Linked DNA regions of Drosophila melanogaster. The protein of the gene in region 4 purifies or fractionates together with the protein of the main gene of each other region. This does not show direct contact. Each region holds a gene or a part of one and is shown on either strand. Other genes may lie near its edges. The genes, in order: Ccdc85, tim, sds22 and Pp1alpha-96A.

Region 1 (4,847 bases), on a different chromosome or scaffold from region 4:
TAGGTTGGCCAAAAGGGGGTTTCCTCCAGGCGACCGCAGAAACGGCAGCAAGAGTCAACATGACCGAGCCTAAAAGAAAAGTCACAGTTGCGCTCAAACGAATAGCACCAAAAATGTCACTCAAAGATAATATAAGTCTTATATAGCATATTATATTCTGATCTCTTATTAAATAATCTTGGCGTTTATATAATTTTTGGGATATATGTATGATATACGATTTTGTGAGACGTGTTTATCCACAGATCGCAAAGCGAAGCATTTAAACTAACCTACTTCTAGCATTTCCACCGCCACTATAAGCATGCAAGTATGTGACCATGTGGAGGAGATTCCAGCTATGGCTGCCGGGACAGGAAACTTAAACTAGTTCTAGTTCGAGTAGCTGGCTTCTAGCCGTTCCACAAACTGGGACACTTGTTGCGCCAACTTGGACACTCGATGGCTGGATGACTTGGCTTGGTCTGCCCTGGCTTGGCTCGCAAGCAATCAAACCTGCAGCCCCAAGATGACAAACAGACGAGGCTTCCCACGCATCAGTCACTCCCATGCCGCCCCTGCCACTCCCACGCATCCGATGGCCGAGTCCCGAAGGCCCGGAAAAGAGAAGCCAGGCTAAATTGTCTTAATGGACCATGAAGAGGAGCCCGCGGAGACGTAGAGATCCAAAAGATCATTATACTCCAAAGAGATTCTGCAGATGGCGGCAGGCGCGCGTAAATCTCGAAACCGCCCAATTAAACAGAAAGATATACGTATATGGATGGGTGCTTATAGGAATATAAAGAGCAGGGCGACACACAAAACAAAATCACCGGCGAGGAGGACAGACAACGAAAGAGTGAACGGAGGACCGGCGGCGATGTTGGCGTGGATAAGCCCAAAAGAAAGTTTTCTTTCATTGACAAAAATTTCTTACTCGACTGCGCTGTCTTTTATTTGCCGCCGCGTACAACGAACTTGGCCTCAGTTGCCCACGGGCGCGGATCTTAACCCATTAAGATGCCGGGCCAAGTCAGGAGGAGATTCTTGTGGATACTTTAGAAAAGCCTCATGACCGCAAAAAGATTCCAACTCGGATGAAGGCTTAAAGAAATGAGTAATATTAAACATTCAACTTAGACCCCTAAGGAAACATACTTTTTGTCCGAGAAGTAATAGTGTTAATAATTGTATTAATATTAATTACTATTTACATTTTGCCAATTCAAACGATGCCTGACTGTTGCATTGTTTGTGGTATGTGGCCAAGCAGTTTTCCCAACTACACCATCCCGCCTTTCCATTTAACCCATGGACAATGCATTTGCATTTCTTGGCCGATTTCTCCCTTTCGCGTTAATGGGTTAATGCTGCTGCTGCTGTTGCCTGGCATTAGTTACAGTTTTCCGATACACGAAATTGACTTTACATATTTCAGGCAGCGGGCGATGTAACAGGTTGTTCGGCGCCATCTCTTTCGCTCTTGCGGGCATTTCGTTTCGAAACGGTGGCGTCGCTGCTTTTACCTGTTGCATGCGGCGTGGTTGTTGCTGTTGCTATTGCAACTGCTGCAGCAACAACAAAAGCAACGGCGATGCTGCAGCGTGGTCGGTTTTCGCTGCTGGTTTTGTTTGATCTTGTGTCTTATTGTTGCGCGTTGTCGTGTATCTTTCTGCCTGTTATTTGTTGCTTTCCTCGGATGCGATACTATCGCCATCGCTCCTGCTGCCTCTCCTTCTCACTCACACCAGCAAGCAACTGTTGAATTTATTGGCGCATATAAATGCCTCAAAATTGATGTTATTGTCGTCCGATATTCCCTTTCTTGCCCCCTTGCCGCCTCGCTGGCTCGTTCCTTTGTTTTTGTCCTGCTTGTTTTGAAAATTGATTTTTACTCGGACTTTTATGGCCGTAGTGGCCGAGCGATAAGTGGAGGAAAAACCCGCCTTCGTTTGCGCACCGTGGAGGGAAAAGACAAAAGACCAGAGACAAAAGAAGAACAAATGGGCAAGGTGGGCGTAGCGCTGACAAAGTGGGCGTTCCCGAGGAGAATAGAGCAATTTTCTGGATCGAAGGGAAAAGAGGGGGCAATGAGTTAATTTTCCGTGGGCCGAGGCCCATGGATTTTTAGTCGACTGACGTGGGCTTGGTACACGTAAAAAAGTATTGATTCAATGTTTTTTCAATAGCTGAAGAGCCTGAATTGAACTTTTTGTGAGTGAGTTATCATGTATGTTATTCAAATAGTTCCTTGCACTGTACATTAATTGTGTGGAGAAACGTGGGCAGGGAAAATGGCAACTTAGGCCAAGGCAACTGCAGTTGCTGCAATTGCCAATCTAACAGCAAAACTCACCTTTTATTTTTTTTTATTCCAATCCGATCGCGCGCTCTCTCTATGTTTCTCTATCTATCTCTGTTTCTCGCTCCTTCTCTCCTTTCAAAACAAATCACAAATATTTGCGCATGCGCGACTGCGCATTCCAGGGATACAGATACACACAGACACACACAATACACTGGCACACAGGGGCACTCGATTCCGCCGTTTGTTTTGCGGCTAATTGTTTATACAGCGTAGATTATTCTTCGCACTGGATGTATTTGTTCATCCGGCTATTTTCGTTTGTTTTTGCTCCGCACGAGCAAATTTGCAGCGCACACGCAGCCGAGAATTCGCGCAATCGCTTTTTCCTGTATGTATCTTTTATTGGCCACAGTTCGCGAGTTTTCATGCCCTTTTCGAGAGCCAAAAAGACGCGTCGCCTGCTGCGTTTCGCGAACTATTTTCGGTTGGCTAGAATCCCGTAAAGGCGGTTTCAGCCGGTGTTCCCCTTGCACTTAACAAACACTCAAGCGGCACTCGCAACTAAAGAACAAAAAGTTTGCGAAAATGCGGGCGGTGTGATTAGTCGCCAACACGAATGTATCGAGTGCAGGGCGGGGAAAAGTATAACATAATTTATGCGATATTTAACAATAAAATAAACACAACGCAATAATTCAGCCGGCGATGCGCACTTTTACGTTTTTTGAACGGCAAACGATCGCAACGATCGCAGTTTTGTGACTGAAAGCGACCGATTTCTAGAGATGCGTTCAACCATCCACAGTGCTGTCGACTATCGATTGTTTGTGTTCGACTAAGATATCGGAGTGGAATGTGTTTGGTTTAAAGTGTGGGCATAAATCGATCAATCGATCAACTTCTATTTTAGTACATATTCAAATTCAAACTCTTCCGTTAACGATCTAAACGGAAATTTATCTTGCCTGCTTCTTTTAATAAGTATAATCTTGAATATATTGGCTTGAAGTTTTCATAAGAAACACTTTTATTTAAAAACATTTTGGCTAAATTTCAGCGCCTAAATTATCATCGTATTTCGCCGCCACACCCCAAAGGCAGTTCTCCCAATGGCCCTCAAACCTAAACTGTGTTTCCGATGCAGGCAGCTCCTCCAGCTTCAGCTGACTTGCGCAGAATGAACTGTGCGTTTACGTGTCGCACCAGAAGAAGGTATACCCAGTGAGTCCCTTTGACTCCTCTGGTGGTTGCCATGTTATAAAATTGGCTCTCACGTTAAACCTGAAATCCTAAGCTAATAATAAGAATAACTAAATCTTCTTGGCTGTGCATTTACTTGGACCAATTTAATACTTTCAAGTTGGCTTTACATAACTTGTGTAATTTGATCTTGCATACATAAAAGCATAAAATATATTGCAAAAATACATATGTATACATGGTATGTGTGTTATATAATTCTCTCTATAAACGTTGTAAATTTTGCGTACGGCTGGTAATTAGAATATTTGTTTACATCTGAACACTTAAGATCCACCGTCCCGATTCACTTAAAACATTTAACCTAAATCTATTTGTTTAACGCGTTGAGTGTTTCTCTTTTTTTTTTTTAGTTGAGTCCGTGTGCATTAACTTGTAAATCTGTTCAAAACTGCATTGTTCGTTAAAAGTTGTTTTTTAAAATATAAATATCGAAAATTTAACAGGTAAAAAGAATAATTTCGTAAGAGTAGCTGGTTAAAACAAACAAGGGCTAACAAATCCGTAAAATATGTATACACAAGCTTTCCGTTCCAAGCGATCATAAAGACCCCTGCTCCGTGACCAGCACAACGCTCTGCTCCTGCGCAATGGCAGCCAGCTCCTTAAGCCACTCGTCCATGAGCACAGCACATAGGGCCAGATCGCGTGATCGCTCGGTGCCACTTGTGCTGGCGATGATTCCCATGGAGGCCACCGAGTCCAGGGACGCCGGCTCCGAGTTGAAACCACCCGTCGACGGGCCGCCATCCAGACCGTGCAGAGTGCTCGCCGAGTGGGTGGTTGTGTTCGACTGGGCGGAGAGCGTTAGGGTGGAACCTGCGATGCTGCTGTTGCTTCCCGATGCCGCTGTTGACGTCGCGTTGGCTCCTGTGCGTGATGCTCCCGCTGGGGGCTGCGTACTCAAGCTGGTCTCGCATGTGCCTGCGGACGTCTGAGCTTGTGATATGCCTCTTCCATCGTTGCTGGCATTATTCCCCACCAGATTCGAGGCAGCTCCTAAAAACGTATGCGAGGATTAGCAACAGCACATGATATTGACATTTTGGGTTAATTAAAAAACAACAATAACCACATGTATATATGGGATTCCACAAATGTTTTCTATATTCTACTATTAACTATTTTTTTAGTGGAAAGCATAATGTACAAAGCTCTACGAAAATAAAGATACTACGCACAAATATTAACAAGACTATGCCATATTGGGTTAGGTTTGATTAAAACTTTAAATATTTTATCAAGCGTGAAATATTTACCGGTGAAGAATGCGTAAATTTGTGATAAGCCAGATGAA
Region 2 (4,661 bases), on a different chromosome or scaffold from region 4:
TTCTCCAGCAGCGGTATCAGGTCTGACCTCACATTCTGGCCAAATCCAATGGCCCGTCGAAAGGTGCGCAGTGTTTGGTCCTCATAGGTGAGCTTGTAGTTGATCTCCTCCAGAATGGCTGGGGATTGAAAATAAGTTAAATACCTAATTAATGTAGTAGTCCTATATTGATTACTCACCCAATGCATTCGGGTTGACCACATAGGTATCGCCCTCCAAGCAACCCAAGGAGGAGAACGCGCTGTACAACTGCGGAGTTGCTAGTAACCAGTCCATAACCGATTTCACTTTATCAAAGTTCTGATTATTCCAGATGTGATTGTGGAGCTGCCTAACTCTGCTCATTGTCGACTGCGAACATTGAGGTACTTCTTAGCCATTTGCGCGGTATCTGTAACTATAAGTAAACAAAAATGTATATTTAATTGTTATTAAAACTTAAATATTCTTAACGTGGTACCAGAGGTGAATTTAAATAATATTACACATTTAAACTGAGATGTGAAATGGTGAAAAATTTATGGCATTTTTGTAAGCTGTAACAGTCACCTTAAAATATGTTAAGGTCACTAACCCATCGTCTTCCAGGGCATTACGCAACCACAAATGATTCCCATAAATATTTGCACTCGCAAACAAAATCGCCACCCATGTGACCATCAAGGGCGCAGTCCATGCAATGTGCTGCAATTGCAGCCGCTCGGGGATGAAACCCGAATCAACTCCCATTCCACATCACCTCACACACGTGTCCGCACAGCACGTCTCCCATTTACCACCCGTTGCGAGTCGAATCAAGGAAACTGCCTACCAGACGAGCCCCGAAAGTTCCCAGAAGCCACACTTGCCAGTCCGGAAAGTGAAAAAGTGGGCTGGATTGGCAAACACCACCACCCCCCCCCCCCACACAGGGGGGAGCCCAACCTTCAGCCATCACGTAACGAGGCAAATCCTCAACAGGCGACTGCGGCACCCGGTGGCCGCATGTGACTCACTTGCAGACATCCGGGCTGATTGTGTAAACAACACAGTTGGAGGACAAAGCCACTGGGTTCGCAAACGGACTACGGACTACGGGACTCCGGAGGAACAAAGCCTGCAGTCGGAAAAGCCGACCACCCGTAGCGATATTTATAGGACATGAATCGGGATGCAGGATTTGGCATTTGTGCGGCTTCCAGCCTGCTGACTTTGAATGTTTCGTGCTATATTTGGCCATTAAAGCGAATGCAGTTTAGTTGCATTGGTTTTCGTTGCCCTCTTTTGGGCGAACACGTTAAATGGCACGCTAAATGGCCAAGAGCGGAAAATAAACAGCGCAAACAGTTGAGAAAATTTTAAAATTACAAAGCCATTTATGGCCTAGCTGATTTACTATAAAATTGTTTTAAAATGTAATAATGCTCAATAGGAAATTATATCTAAGAAGGGAGATTTAATTGTGTGTAAATTGAGGGACAATAAATTATGGACATTTTATAGAAAATATTAAAAAATATAATTAATAAGAAAACAGTGATATCTAAGAGAAAAAAAATAAAAATACTTTTCTTTTAAATTTTACTTAGATATTTCTACTGAAACTAATATCGAATTTTGTTGGTCGAGCATAATTTTTGCACCATCCGAAATCATAGATCATCTGAGCATCTTTGTATCTGTGAAACGTTTCTAGCAACCCCAATACCATTTCCGCTGACTGGTTATGAAATCAAAGACCCAACTTACATAAAACGCAAGGCGAGAACTACAAAATGATATGCGCATTGAAATTTCGAGCTGAGTATCTACTTTTCTTGGAGAGTGAAAACAATTTTCATTCTTTCGCAAAGGGGAAATTCATTGAAGCGAGGTTGAATTTGCATTTGAAACGGAAAGCAAAGATAGATCACGAATAAATATTTAAGATTTGAATTTGCAATGCAAATACATCTGAGGGTCGTTAAAATCCTAGCTAAACGAGCAGAAACCACTGAACATCTGTGTGCCAGGATGAAATCTGTCAGTTTCAGGACGATTCCCGTACTTATTTCGCTATCCTGTTTCTGACAGGAATTCCGTGGAAGGCCAAGCCTCCTTTTTTGACAGTTCACTGCGTGCTTTTTACATAAGAATTGTAACGGAGAATTGTTGTGCTTCGTAAATTGCCCCTTTAACTTGTTTTCATTTTCCCAGTATTATGTGATTTCGTTTTCATGTGGAAATGGGTTTTCTTTCTGTGCAAGCTTTAATTGCTTGAATATGTCGCCGCTTAAAGCTACTTTTTAGAAAGCTTTGTTAAAGTGTAATTTTGTCAGGGGTCAACTGATAACGAACTGTGTTAGGTCAGGTCTAAGCTATGTAATGTTAAATATACTAGTGGTTTATATTTCTTACCAATTATTTAAATTTTTTCTATCGCAGACAATTTTACTGTTTTAGTTTTAGCCGAATTGCAATCAACAATTAAAGCTGATTGTTTATGTTTCTAAGCAATTGAGCTTTTCTGAGCACTTTTTGGGTTTCTTTGCAGAATAGATCGTGTTATAGTTTCAGTGCTGTTATATACACTGATGAAATTATTTTTGTTTTATATCTGAAAGTAGTTTTAAGAATATTTGTTAGGGTAAATTCAGTTTTTTTGGTAATATTAAGATTTTAACCACTCATGAAAAATTTGTTAAGGATTTGCAATTTTATTTAACACTTTGTGAACTTTGCTTTGTTAACACTGCACAAAAAATTCTTTATACTCGTTGTTGGCTTATGTAAAATGCAACTTCAATAGCAATTAATTTGCACTTTTTTCGATTGCAATCTAGGCTAAACACTGAGAGAAAGACCAGTGAGTCATGTAAGCACTCTCTTTAAGATTATTGATATGTGAATTAATAAATATTATTGCATGAATTCACAAAAGTATTCAAGATTATTTTAGCAAAATATCTTTATTAAATTTTCTTTATTTAAGAGATATTTATTTTCGAAACTTCTATTTTGTTGATAAACTTCGAACCGCTCAACGAACCGCTTACTTGGAACGCACAATGCTGAATGCGATCTGAGTTACGGCTAGCTCACCGAAGTCAGATACAAAATGCATCTCACAGATACACACACTGACCGAAACACCCACTCACACAGGGCCAACGTGCCGCTGCCGGCGTTTGTGCGAACGAAAGACGCTAGCCGAAAGCTCTCGCCGCGCTGCTCCGTCCCGCTCGCACTCAATGCCGGACGGCCGGGGAAATCGGCTCACGTGTAATCACAACGTGCCGCACGTTTATTTGCCAACCGCCACTACGATGTTCGATAACATGAATAACCAGCGCCGGAAAATACGGAGAACAGTCTGGGAACAACAGCAATAGTCAGAACGTTTCTGTGCACTCAAAAAAAAAAAGTGTGTCACTTTACCAAATGGTATCTTCAATAACGAGACTTCACTTTACTTTAATACTTTACTTTACTTTATTTAATAAATGTATATATTTAGTGTGCAAAATAATTAATATAAATGATTTCAAAACTACGTTTTTTTTTGATTATACAACACTCACGTTTATATGTATATAATATATTCAATGACATATTTTGTTACATACATAAATATTATATTATTTTGTCTGCTGCTGTACTGTATTCCTCACAGACGTTTCACATTAAAACCAATATTTTTTTCAGTGTAAAGTTAAACGTTTTTGACGCCGCCTTCGAACGACTCTGCCGTAGGCTTCGTCAGGGTGACATTGTTCGGCTCTGAGTGCCTCAGATGATCCGTTGAATAATCCTTTTGGGAACGGAATCAACAGTTGGTTGCAGGCGCGGGCACACGCGGCGTATACGCACCGGGCTCATTGAATGCGTATACTGTGGGGAGCGTATATATTTACTTTGAGTGTTTCCACGGTGGCGCGAGCTGCAGCACGTCGGCACCGAATCGCGGTGGTAAATCGACTGGAAACGGAGGTTTAGGAAAATACTTTTGCTCGGACTGGGGCGATAGAAATAAATAACTGACACTCTCATTTTACGAAGTCACTCACTCACAATAGGCGATTTGACGTCAAAATGTTATTCAACCCAGACTATCAAATTCTATTATTTCAATAAGAAGATTAGTTGTCACAAAAAAAAGAAACAAATTAATAATGCTGTTAATTAGATGGTTAGACTTTTGTAAAAGGTGACAATCTAACTATATTTTTAATATAAAGGAGCAGATTTTGATTGAATACATTTCAACTATGAATTAATTTTTTTATTTTTTGCAAATAATATTTAAGTTATATATCCATTGCTGCAAAGTGAATGGAGAAAAACGAAAGTGCCAATGTAAGAACATAGCATTGATTAGACCACTTCAGCCGATCCGCCCAAAGTTTCCACTCAACGTAAGTTGTGCGATCACTTCGCCAATGCCAAGGCTATGCAAGTACATACATCTGAATTATGCAACGCCTGATGTTAATTTCTGTAAGCTAATTTATCACTAAGCAAACACAACAATGGCGGAGTCCGTTCAGCGGCAAAGTAAGCCACGCCAATGCACAAAAACTTGTCCCTACGTATACGTAATGCAAGTAATTGCGTATACGCCGCATGTAACACATGAACGGTGGACAGTCACGATGAAAGTTGGCTGATAAGCCTCCCAATCAAAAGCAAAACAATTAGATGCG
Region 3 (3,759 bases), 7.1 Mb from region 4:
CGCCTCTGACTATTACGCTGTTTCGAATTGATGAACTCCTCCAAAAGCAATCCAACTGACGCCTCATATACTTTGTCAAAAAATGAAATGATAAGCATATTTGCACAACATGTCTGCCACAAAGGGAAAGAATGAAGACAAAGGCCTTTATGAAAGCCACTTATCAGTTGAGCTCTGTGATTTCAATCGATAGAACAATAACTTTGATATAAATAAAAATACATTCCGTTGAATGTACTCTGACATACTGAAATGTATTGTTTTGGTTTAAGAGAAACCAGAATTGTTTAACTAAAATGTTTTCATCTTTTTAGATTCAATTTACATTATTTATGTGTATATATAAAATACTTTTTAGTTTTATATGTTAGGCGGTAGCCTAGATGGATAATTTATCTGACTCATTAGGTAAACTTCACGCTTTGAGTAACTTATCCAAATATACCTTCTTCTGAAAGCAAACTAAATCACTGCACCCACCAATTCGTAGATAGAACCATTAGTGGTTAATTTGTATGTATATTTTAAACGCAGTTTTTCAAAGTTAATCGATATAAATGTAGTGGCGCAACGCCGTGGATTAGTCTTTCAAGGGGTTTACAGTGGTTCCATCTAGGTACCGGGCACCTTGCACAGGGTGGCATCAATCTTCTGCAGCTGCGGCAGTATGTCGCGCAGTTTGGAGCGGTAGCGAACATCCTTGGCCAGCGGATTGTACTCCAGGTAGATGGTCTGCAGCGCCTTGTTCACCTTCAACAGCTCAATGTCCTTCCAGTCATCGACTCCGTTGTGGTTCAGCCACAGCTCCTCGAGCAGTTCCAGCTTTTCCAGATTGGCAATGCCCTTCAACCGGTTCTTGGCCAAGTCGAGGGTCTCCAATTTGGTGTTCTCCGAGAGGTTTTCAATGGTTTCCACTCCGTTTTCCGAAACGTAGAGTTCGCGGAGGTTGGCAAGCTTTTCAAGGTTCTCGATTTTTACAATGCGATTGGCCTGTAGACTGAGTATCTCCAAATTGACCAATGTGTCCAAGTTCTCGATCTTTGCTATCTTATTTTTGCCCAGGAAGAGCTGTCGTAGATTCACGAGCATTTCGATGTTTTCGATCTTCTTCAGTTTGTTATCCCCCAGCTCTAGCATGGTCAGATTGGTGAGCATGTCCAGGTTCTCGATTTGGGTTATCCGGTTCGACACAAAGTAGACCTTCTCCAGCTTGACCAGCTTGTCAAGGTTCTCTATCTTCGTCAGACGATTGAAGCTAATGTCCAGCACCTCCAGGTGGGGCAAGTCGTCCAAATTCTCAATCTTGGTGATCTGGTTGTCATACAGCTCCAGCTCAATCAGTGTTTTCAGGCTGGACAAGTTCTCGATTTTCTTGATCAGATTCCAGCGCAGAAACAGGCGCTCGATTCGAGTCAGCGGCTCGAAGTTCTCCAGCTTCTCGATCCGGCGATGATTCAGATCAAGCTCGTAGCAGTCCGGATCGATTGTGATTATATCCTCAATGGAAGCCACATCCTCGGCGGGAATCACCTGGATTCCGGACACAGTTTTCGCGGCTTCTGGTTCGTTCATCGCACGATCAGCATCGCCCATGACTGATATATTTTGACCGGCTTTTCTTTTTTTTTAATTCAAGTTGACTTTCGAAAATTGAACGCTGACTTGACTTGTTGTTTATTCCGCTGCTCAGGGTGGAACAAAGTGGGGTGACTTTCTTTAAATATGACGTCAAAGCTTGACACTGTTACAAAAGCAAGAACACACGGTAAATATAAATATGTAAATTTAAAATAAATATGTATTAAAATATTTACTTAATATTTATAAGTTAAGTCCAAGATGACTGTATACTCCTTTTGGTCCAACTTGTTCAATATGTCAACAAAATACTTAGTCACCTTACCGGCACTTTAACACTATTTCTACTAGAGATGTGCACCTAAGAACACGATGCTAAACCTGTATTATTATATATTCCAATGTAAATGAAAAACAAATATTGATTGATAATTTGCCAAATAAACTAGAACATAATTTTTGGAACCAGCTTTACGTAATTTTTACAATTTTAATATCTCTTTTAAGTTTTTCAAGCAGTTGTGCCAATGTCGTTCTTGATTGAGAAATGCGCATCTCTAGCATTTCTTCTTCTATCATCAGTGTTAAGCAACGCCGGCGGGGTTCAATCAGATGTTTTCCAAGCGTGTTGATTCAATTGGCAACAAATTGCAAATTGTTTAAAAAAGACTCGAAAATGGCTTTCAAATGACAGCAAACAAGTAGTTTAAACTGTCAAAACAACGGATAAAAACGAAGCGTTGCAGGTGGCAGTGTTTATTAAAGCAAAGAACAAACAATCATGTCTACGGGCCTAAAATGTCGCAATTGCGGATCCAACGAGATCGAGGAAGACAATGCTCGCGGAGATCGAGGTATAATGACATCCAAGGACCCATATCCATGACACTAACGACGTTCACCCATTCACTGTAGTTTGCATGAACTGCGGCTCGGTATTGGAGGATTCCCTCATTGTTTCCGAAGTGCAGTTCGAGGAAGTTGGCCATGGAGCAGCCGCAATTGGCCAGTTTGTGTCCGCCGAGTCGTCGGGCGGTGCCACCAACTATGGCTACGGCAAGTTTCAGGTGGGATCGGGCACCGAATCCCGCGAGGTGACCATCAAAAAGGCCAAGAAGGACATCACACTACTCTGCCAGCAGCTGCAGCTATCCCAGCACTATGCAGATACTGCTCTGAATTTCTTCAAGATGGCATTGGGTAGGCATCTGACCCGCGGTAGGAAGAGCACCCACATCTACGCCGCTTGCGTGTACATGACCTGCAGGACAGAGGGCACCTCCCGTGAGTAGTGCATTCATTTTGCCTAAAGAGTAGCTTATTGACTGCTCATATCTTCACAGATCTCCTCATCGACATCAGCGACGTACAGCAAATCTGTTCCTATGAGCTTGGTCGTACCTACTTAAAGTTATCGCATGCCCTTTGTATCAACATACCTTCTCTGGGTGAGTGAACGTTGTGAATACTAAACTATACACCTAAATCCCAATCCACAGTCAAGTCAAGCCATAGCTCCACTCTTAATTTTTGTTTTTTTAAAAATATTTTGTTGGGTTTGTTAGATTTGCTTGCTTTCCTTTTATCAGGTATTTAACAATACTCTACTCGTTCCTGTTTTCTTTATGCACTACTTACGTGATGTCAAAATATCCAAAATCTTCAACTCTGAGAAAGTAAATTCGCAAAAATCTAATAATGTATTTTGTTTGATTAAAGTACATAATGGTAATAGATTCATAATCAATACAGGATAACATTTTATATAGATATATGTATATAAAAACCATAATTGTCTTATCAAAAGCAAAAAATCAGTACAATTTCCAAAGAAATCCGAAATACAAACGTAAAACTGATTGTTGCGCTCAGCAGGCTATAATAATGCACAGGAGAAGTACGGGGCTTAGTATCAGTAGAAAGGCATATTGTGTATGTATGAGAGATATAATGGAACAACTACGAAATAGATATAATGCGTACTACAAGATTAATATTTGAATATATATGTAGGGGGGATTTTGTGCGCATCTCGTACAAGATCCCTTGATTTCATTTTTGTTTGCTATTTCGTTAACTGGTTAACTTGGGTTTCAAATTCGTCGTATGCAACTATTAACATGGCCTATTCTCCCTCGAAGTGTTTAGGACTATAGTTTATCATTATCAGATCAGATGTGT
Region 4 (6,603 bases):
CCGCCTGATGAACACAAGCGAATGCTTCAGTGATGTCCGCCAGGATAAGCTGCGCCTGCAGCGGGCATATGATAAAATCATTTTCAACAACTCGGACAAGTGGAACAAAGATCGCGCCAATGAGAGCAGGCAACAGGAAGTGACGAGGAGCAGCAGCAGCAGCACCACCACCACACCTTATGCCTTAAGGCAGAAGTTGCTCCAGCTGAGGCTCCAGGAGGATGAGCGACATGGCAGGGGCACGGGTGGCACATGTGCTCCTTTGGGAAAGAGTTGCTCACTGCGATATAACTAAACACAAAGTGCTATACAAAGTAAATTTAGTGCAATATATTAAGCAACATAAAGTAAAGTTATAAATAAGATTTTAAAGTCCTCGAAATGCTTTAGATTGTAACACCAACTATATAGACAATAAATAATAGATTTGCTTTTTTAAACAAGAAACTAACATGCATTTCACTCAAGTAAAAACACATCTCGAATTTCATATTTATTGCTAGTATGTATTTCAATTTTTTTTTTAATAAAACAGTGCTATTTTGTTACAAGTGCTTCGTCATTGTGTTCATTTTGTTTAATTTGTATTTTTTTGTTTCATTTTTTAGCTCTTTTTTAAATGATTTTTTTGTTTGTTATTTTTTTATTGTATTTTATTTTTTTTGCAATTTACGCTTTGAATGCATTATAAATTTACCCCATCTGTCTTTTCTAATTTCCTTCTTGGGGTCAATTACACTTTAATTTTACGATATTACGTTATAGATTTCTTATGACTTGTGTTTTTTGGGGGTTGAAAACAGCCGATGTCGTACTGGATCGCATTATTACAAGTACATATATAGTCGTAAATATACGTTGAATTCATTACAACATTGAACAGAGTACTAGAGTGTGAAATAGAAGAGGACTCATGCTTTGCTTTTGGTTTTGTTTTTTTTTTTTTGTCCGTAGGTTACACGATTGTTGTTAGTAGGTTGCTTGGTTGTCGGGCGGGGATTGGATTGGATTGGATTATACAAACGAAACCATTTTGGGTAACTTGCGTCCGGCTGCATCGCTCCGGATCGCTGCCTGCCTGCCTGGGCATAATACTTGTAATTGAATGTGGCGGCCTTTAGCACTAGAATGTTGCGACGTTAGTCGTAGAATGCAAAATACACAAAAGTGTACACTTGTACGATAAACAGTGTTTGTGTCTGTGTTTGTTGCGCTGCTGTTTACAAATATTTTATTACTTGCTTATTTTTGTTTCGATTTTTTTTTCTATATTTCGTGTGAGTTTCACATGCACTTAATGGGTCTGGGGCCGCTGCTTTCCTTTCGTCTGGGCGGGGGATTAAAAGGGGGTAACATTATCTGCCTCGTCGCTGACATCAGCAGAGAGCACACAGTGCCGCTCAAAAGCGTTCGCCTTAAGGTAGATTTTCAATTCGGGTTTATTTTTGTCTATATAAACATACTTTTCAGGGTTCTCCTTAAAATCGTGTGTGCGTGCTTGCCTGTATGTGTGTGTTTGTGTAATGCAAACAGTTAAAAAATATTCACAATATTTGTTTATTTTAATATTTTTGGTGTAAACAATTCAAGCTTTTGTAGCTTGCAACTAAAATTGCTTTCCTCGTTTTAAAACTAAGTAAACATGTATCGATGTCAAATATTACAAAAATAAATCGTGCTTCGAGTACATACATATGTAATATGTAGTAACCTCAACTCACATTTAAAAGCATTCTCGTACAGTTTAATTAACATAAAATTTAACATTGTTACCATTTGCTAATATTCCCTTAGATACGCAAAAAAAAAAAACAAGGAAGAAGGGAAGTGTGGTTAAAGACCTTTGCCAAAGGTGCCGCCAGGATCGGCATACATAATTAAAATGCTGTGCGAGTTGGAAATGCAAATTAAAATACAACCGGTGCGTGCACTTATGGTACCTACTGTACGGATGATCTGAGCATGTGTATGTGTGTGTGTGTGTGTGAGTGTGTGGGTTTTGCGCAAGGAAATATTATAACAAAATTAATACATTAGGAGATAAAATATTCTTGCTTATGCAGTGTCTTACACTACCATTAGTTTGAACTAAAGTGTCTCGATTTGTGTTTTCTGGTTTCTTAATTTCATTTCATTCGTTTCGTTTTCCTTATTTGTTTTTGTTTTTTTTTCCTTTTCAAATGAAAGATAGGCTAATTTGTGTAGATTCATATTCCCCATATAACGTTGCTCACGATTCGATTACACGTTTATGATAAAAACAAACTCTCTGCGCTTTCCGTTGAATGTGGACACACGGATTCTCCTTTCTGTTTTCCCTATTTGTGTTTTGTGTGTGTGGCCGTTTGTAGTTGCTGTTGTTGTTGTGCTTCGTTCGAGGTGTGCAGTGTTTATTTTTTCTTGTTTTTATTGTTAGCTCCGCGTGGCGGTGTCAAAGGACGTCCTGAGCTGCCAAAGTTGGGATAAACAAATCGTCGCTTGTCGGCGGGTTTCAATATCTGGAAGGAGCACATCAATGTGTCGTCCACGGACATCATGGCACCTGTAAACGTAATCAATAATGATTAATCAATTCATTAGAAGCGGGTGTCGTGCATAGGTAGTTTCATTCTCGGTATTGATTATTGATTATTTTTAAATGCGCATTTTCCGAGTTGAATTTAAATCTGGTTGCCAGCTTTCACTTGCCGACAGCTTATCGGCAGGCAAAATCACCGAGTACAAGGGTGCAACGTGGTTGTTCTCCAAATAAACAAGGTTTATCTCCGACTAAAGTCCCCGAACAATGATCACTTACCCGCGTTGTCGAATTCCCCGCAGTAGTTGGGCGCCGAGAAGAGCGTCACCAGCTGACGTTTGGCGAAGAACTCATAACCGTCCTCCACTACCTGATGAGCCCGACAGATCAGGTCAAATTCGTGCTTCTGTAAAAATTTACCCACAACCTGCAAGAGCGAATGCATAAACAACATTGTGGCGAACAGTGTAATGCGAAGAACCCACCTCTGCTCCAAATGTGAAGCTCACGCCGCGATCATTCTCGCCCCAGCCCATGGTATCCTTATCCGGATCCGACCACAGCAGATCGCACAGCAGTCCCTGATCGGGCACGTCTGTGGGACGCATGATGCGTCGTATCTGCTCCATGGACGACAGATCTGGACTCAGGCCACCGTGGCAGCAGAAGATCTTCTCATCCACGATGGCGGCCACCGGCAGGCAGTTGAAGCAGTCCGTGAAAGTTTTCCACAGCTTGATGGTGTAGCGACGTTTACATTCGTCATAGAACCTGCCAATTAAGTGCAATTAGTTGAGTAATTTTATGGATTATTGCTATAGAATGTGGCATTTACTTTATGTATTTGAAGTATGGCTAATTTAATTGTAATGGATATCGTTGTGTGCGTCAATAAACTAGAAAGTATTAATAAGCTTGGAAGCATAAGTAGACATCAATATGTCTGGGAAATTTTTAAAGCTCACGTAAACAATAAACAACTATAAGTTCTATAGCATGTATAAAAGTACATAGTCATCAGAAGTAAATACGAGTCGTAAGAATAATATAAATTGTAATCAAATGAGTTTCAGTAATCTAAGCAGGAAAGCAAATTGTTTCGGTGCTGAACTGAACAGATTGCTAACCATTTCATCAAGCTTCATCCTGTTTTTGGAGCCGCCTCCCCACTTACCCGTAGATGCGATTGATGCTGGCGCACTCATGGTTGCCGCGCAGCAAGAAGAAGTTCTCCGCGTACTTGATCTTGTAGGCCAGCAGCAGGCATATCGTCTCCAGGGATTGCTTGCCGCGATCGACATAGTCGCCCAGGAACAGGTAGTTTGACTCGGGCGGAAAGCCGCCGTATTCGAACAGGCGCAAGAGGTCATAATATTGTCCGTGTATGTCGCCGCAGATCTTCAGCGGTGCCTCCAGCTCCAGGAGTATGGGCTGCGACAGGAATATCTCGCGGGACTTGAGGCACAGGCTGCGGATCTCGCTCTCTGATAGCTGAACATTCTTTCCCGGTCGTGCACCGCGCACTGCAATGGAAAACCAAGCAGGGAAAATTTACGTTAAGGTGATGAGAGTGGGCGGTGGTTGGGTGGCAAGGCATGTGGGGAATGGGTGATGATGGGTGGGGGCAAGGTAATCAAAAGTTGGAGCCCTAACACCTACCCTCCAGCAGGCGCGAGATGATACTGTCGATGTTCATGATATCCGACATCTTTGTGGGCCCGCTTGCTCAGCTTCCTGAAGTTCGCTTATCCGCCGATTGCAGCAACTGCTATTTCCCGTAACCCGTGTATTTTCGGTATACGTTCGTTATGTATGTTATTTCATCGATGGGCACGGGCTGCGTGTGCCTGTGTGTGTGTGCGCCGTGTCCGTGTGCGGATGGAAACTCGGTGCTGGGCTAATCTCGCCCTTTGGTCAGCTGGATGCACGGATTCGCGGATTCACTGCCTCGGTTGCTCACCCCTCTGAGGTTGGCTGACTTCAATCGTTCCGATCCTTAGCCAGCTGCCCTTTTATTGCATTTAATGCACGTTTTACTCGCGACGTACTAAAAAATTTTCATCTACGTTGGTTAGTGACGTCGATTGTTTACAGCGCGAGTCGATTGCCTATCGATTGCCTATCCATTGCACGGCGCGCAGCTATCGGTAAAAGGTAGTGTGACCGGAATATGCAAATTCATTTAAAAAACAATATTTTTTAGTTAAGTACGGTACATTGAACAGGTGATAGGTACTCATAAAGGAATATAATTATCTTATGATATATTGGCTATTAAACGTATCGTTGACATTTATACCCAAAGTATTATAATATCATCTTTATTGACTCATTTTAGGTTATCATCGCTGTCATTGAAGCTCTTCCCGTCCTCCGTGGTGTTGAACATCACCCGCTTCCTGGGCAGCGGAACTGGCCTCGAACTCAGGGACGACTTGGAAGCTCCTCGAATAGTGGCCGCCGGCTTGACCAGGATCTCCTCCAGACGAGCCTTGAAATCGCGACTAACTAGTCTTTGAGGACTGGGGCTTCGAGTTTGCTGTTCGCTGCTATCCGTTTGCTCATCCGTCTGCTCTTCGCCTTGAGAGCTGGCTATATCCTCTTCAGACTTTTCAGAGATCGCAGACCTCGGGATCCCTTTGCCTGGAACCTCCATTGGCTTGAGTGGACTCTTGTGCTTCAGCAACATTTCCGCGCGTTCCGAGAACTTGGCGGAGCACAGTTTTTCGACAAACTTGCGGATGCGATTTCGAGTGGCGTAAAAATGTGGATGTTGCTAAAGGGTATTCCAGAATTGTCAAAAGTTCATTAGTTTTTGGCAGTTATAGGCTTACCAGTTTCAGTTTGTTGCGGTGCTCTGTCAGCTCGGAGTTCACTCTCTTCAAAGAGTTATGCGAAATACCTTTGGACTTCATATCGAAGCCGTGAGACATCAACTTCCGGTTGACCATCTTCCGGGCATCCTTGCGAGTAAGTGGTTTTTGAGGGCTCCTTAAAACATGTGGATTATTATTACTCTAAGAAAGCTTAACATCGAAACACTCACTTGATGATTCTTCCAGAAGGCTTGATTGTTTTTGGCGTTGGATCCTCTCGTGCTGCTTCCGACCCGGAGGTGGGAACATCGGTCCCCTCCTCCTCTGTCAGGCTGCGCTCCTCTTCGTTCTCCGTCTCTTCTTGGCTGAGACTATCGCTTACGTCCGTGGCTTCTTTCGTTTCCTGCTTATTAGGAGCAGGTTCCCTTGGAGATTTCGTATAAGTCGGATTGCTGTCCGAACTTCCAGCACTTGGCTGCTCCTTTTCCACCACTTGAACTTGGGTCACCAGCTGTGGGAATGGTTTCTCCGAACCTTTTCGTGGCGCCTCCTCAATGGAATAGGTGTCATCGTCATGTTTCTGTTTGAGGAACTCGCTCTCCACCTGCTTGCGAATCCGATCAATGTTGGTTTCCTCCTTGCGAACCACCGGCTTGGGTATTTTCGAGGCAACTGGCACAGTCTGCACAGGCTCTGGCTGCACCTTTTGAACACTCAGCTGCTTGAGCTCTCGCTCCAGTGCCCCTAGCTTCTCCTTGTAGCCCTCCTCAAGGTGATAGACCACCTCTTCCAGCCTGTGTGCGCTGACCTTTCCAATCTCTGCCACCTTCTCAGTGAGTATGCGCTCCAGATCCTCCAGACACGGCGTGGCCACCCGATCTTCCAGCGGAGGCGTGCTGGCGGATGCCTGTTTACTCTGCTCGAGTGCGTGGCTCAGGCCCTCCAGCCTCTTGTTAATGTCCTGAAAGGATATAAATTGTAATGGTACTTCCACAGGAGTAAGGATTACTTGATTCTACCTGTATAAACTGTTCGTTGCTCTGCTTGAGCTGCGTTTGCCACTCCTCAAAGTTGCTCAGTCGCTCCGCCAATCCTGTGAGTTGCTCCTTCCGTTCGCTGGCCTCGCTTTGCCTGGCCTCTCCGCTGTCCTCGTCCTTCTCCTTTGGCTCCGCCAGATTGCTCTGTATGCCCACGTGGCGCTGCTCCTGGCGCGGACTTACCCGCTTCGATCCCGTGCTCCGCTCCTTAATATTCCGCTCGGCGGCATTC

The links.
Region 1: the proteins of Pp1alpha-96A (region 4) and Ccdc85 purify together in Drosophila melanogaster (affinity purification with western blotting; one study listed by BioGRID). This does not show direct contact.
Region 2: the proteins of Pp1alpha-96A (region 4) and tim purify together in Drosophila melanogaster (affinity purification with western blotting, with the first as the bait; one study listed by BioGRID). This does not show direct contact.
Region 3: the proteins of Pp1alpha-96A (region 4) and sds22 purify together in Drosophila melanogaster (affinity purification with western blotting; 2 studies listed by BioGRID, with this or other methods). This does not show direct contact.

Annotation. Positions count from the first base shown.
Region 1 is NT_033779.5:2,997,493-3,002,339, reverse strand, and holds the start of Ccdc85 (Ccdc85), read right to left. Parts: upstream 3,055-4,847; 5' UTR 2,339-3,054; intron 1-2,338. Other genes in the region: CG3558 (uncharacterized protein), read right to left, coding at 4,092-4,549, 4,810-4,847.
Region 2 is NT_033779.5:3,504,182-3,508,842, forward strand, and holds the start of tim (timeless), read right to left. Parts: upstream 3,038-4,661; 5' UTR 3,015-3,037; exon of another isoform or gene 3,008-3,014; intron 2,576-3,007; 5' UTR 2,377-2,575; intron 398-2,376; 5' UTR 346-397; coding exon 180-345; intron 119-179; coding exon 1-118. UniProt on the Drosophila melanogaster protein: Required for the production of circadian rhythms. The biological cycle depends on the rhythmic formation and nuclear localization of the TIM-PER complex. Light induces the degradation of TIM, which promotes elimination of PER.
Region 3 is NT_033777.3:17,389,763-17,393,521, reverse strand, and holds sds22 (sds22), read right to left. Parts: upstream 1,929-3,759; 5' UTR 1,815-1,928; intron 1,766-1,814; exon of another isoform or gene 1,742-1,765; 5' UTR 1,594-1,741; coding exon 613-1,593; 3' UTR 502-612; downstream 1-501. Other genes in the region: CREG (cellular repressor of E1A-stimulated genes), read left to right, coding at 1-31; Brf RNA polymerase III subunit, read left to right, coding at 2,360-2,432, 2,494-2,862, 2,922-3,026.
Region 4 is NT_033777.3:24,516,282-24,522,884, reverse strand, and holds Pp1alpha-96A (protein phosphatase 1alpha at 96A), read right to left. Parts: upstream 4,616-6,603; 5' UTR 4,227-4,615; coding exon 4,178-4,226; intron 4,042-4,177; coding exon 3,693-4,041; intron 3,290-3,692; coding exon 3,004-3,289; exon of another isoform or gene 2,946-3,003; coding exon 2,798-2,945; intron 2,543-2,797; coding exon 2,391-2,542; 3' UTR 554-2,390; downstream 1-553. Other genes in the region: CG13622 (uncharacterized protein), read left to right, coding at 1-295; DZIP1, read right to left, coding at 4,848-5,294, 5,353-5,509, 5,565-6,295, 6,354-6,603.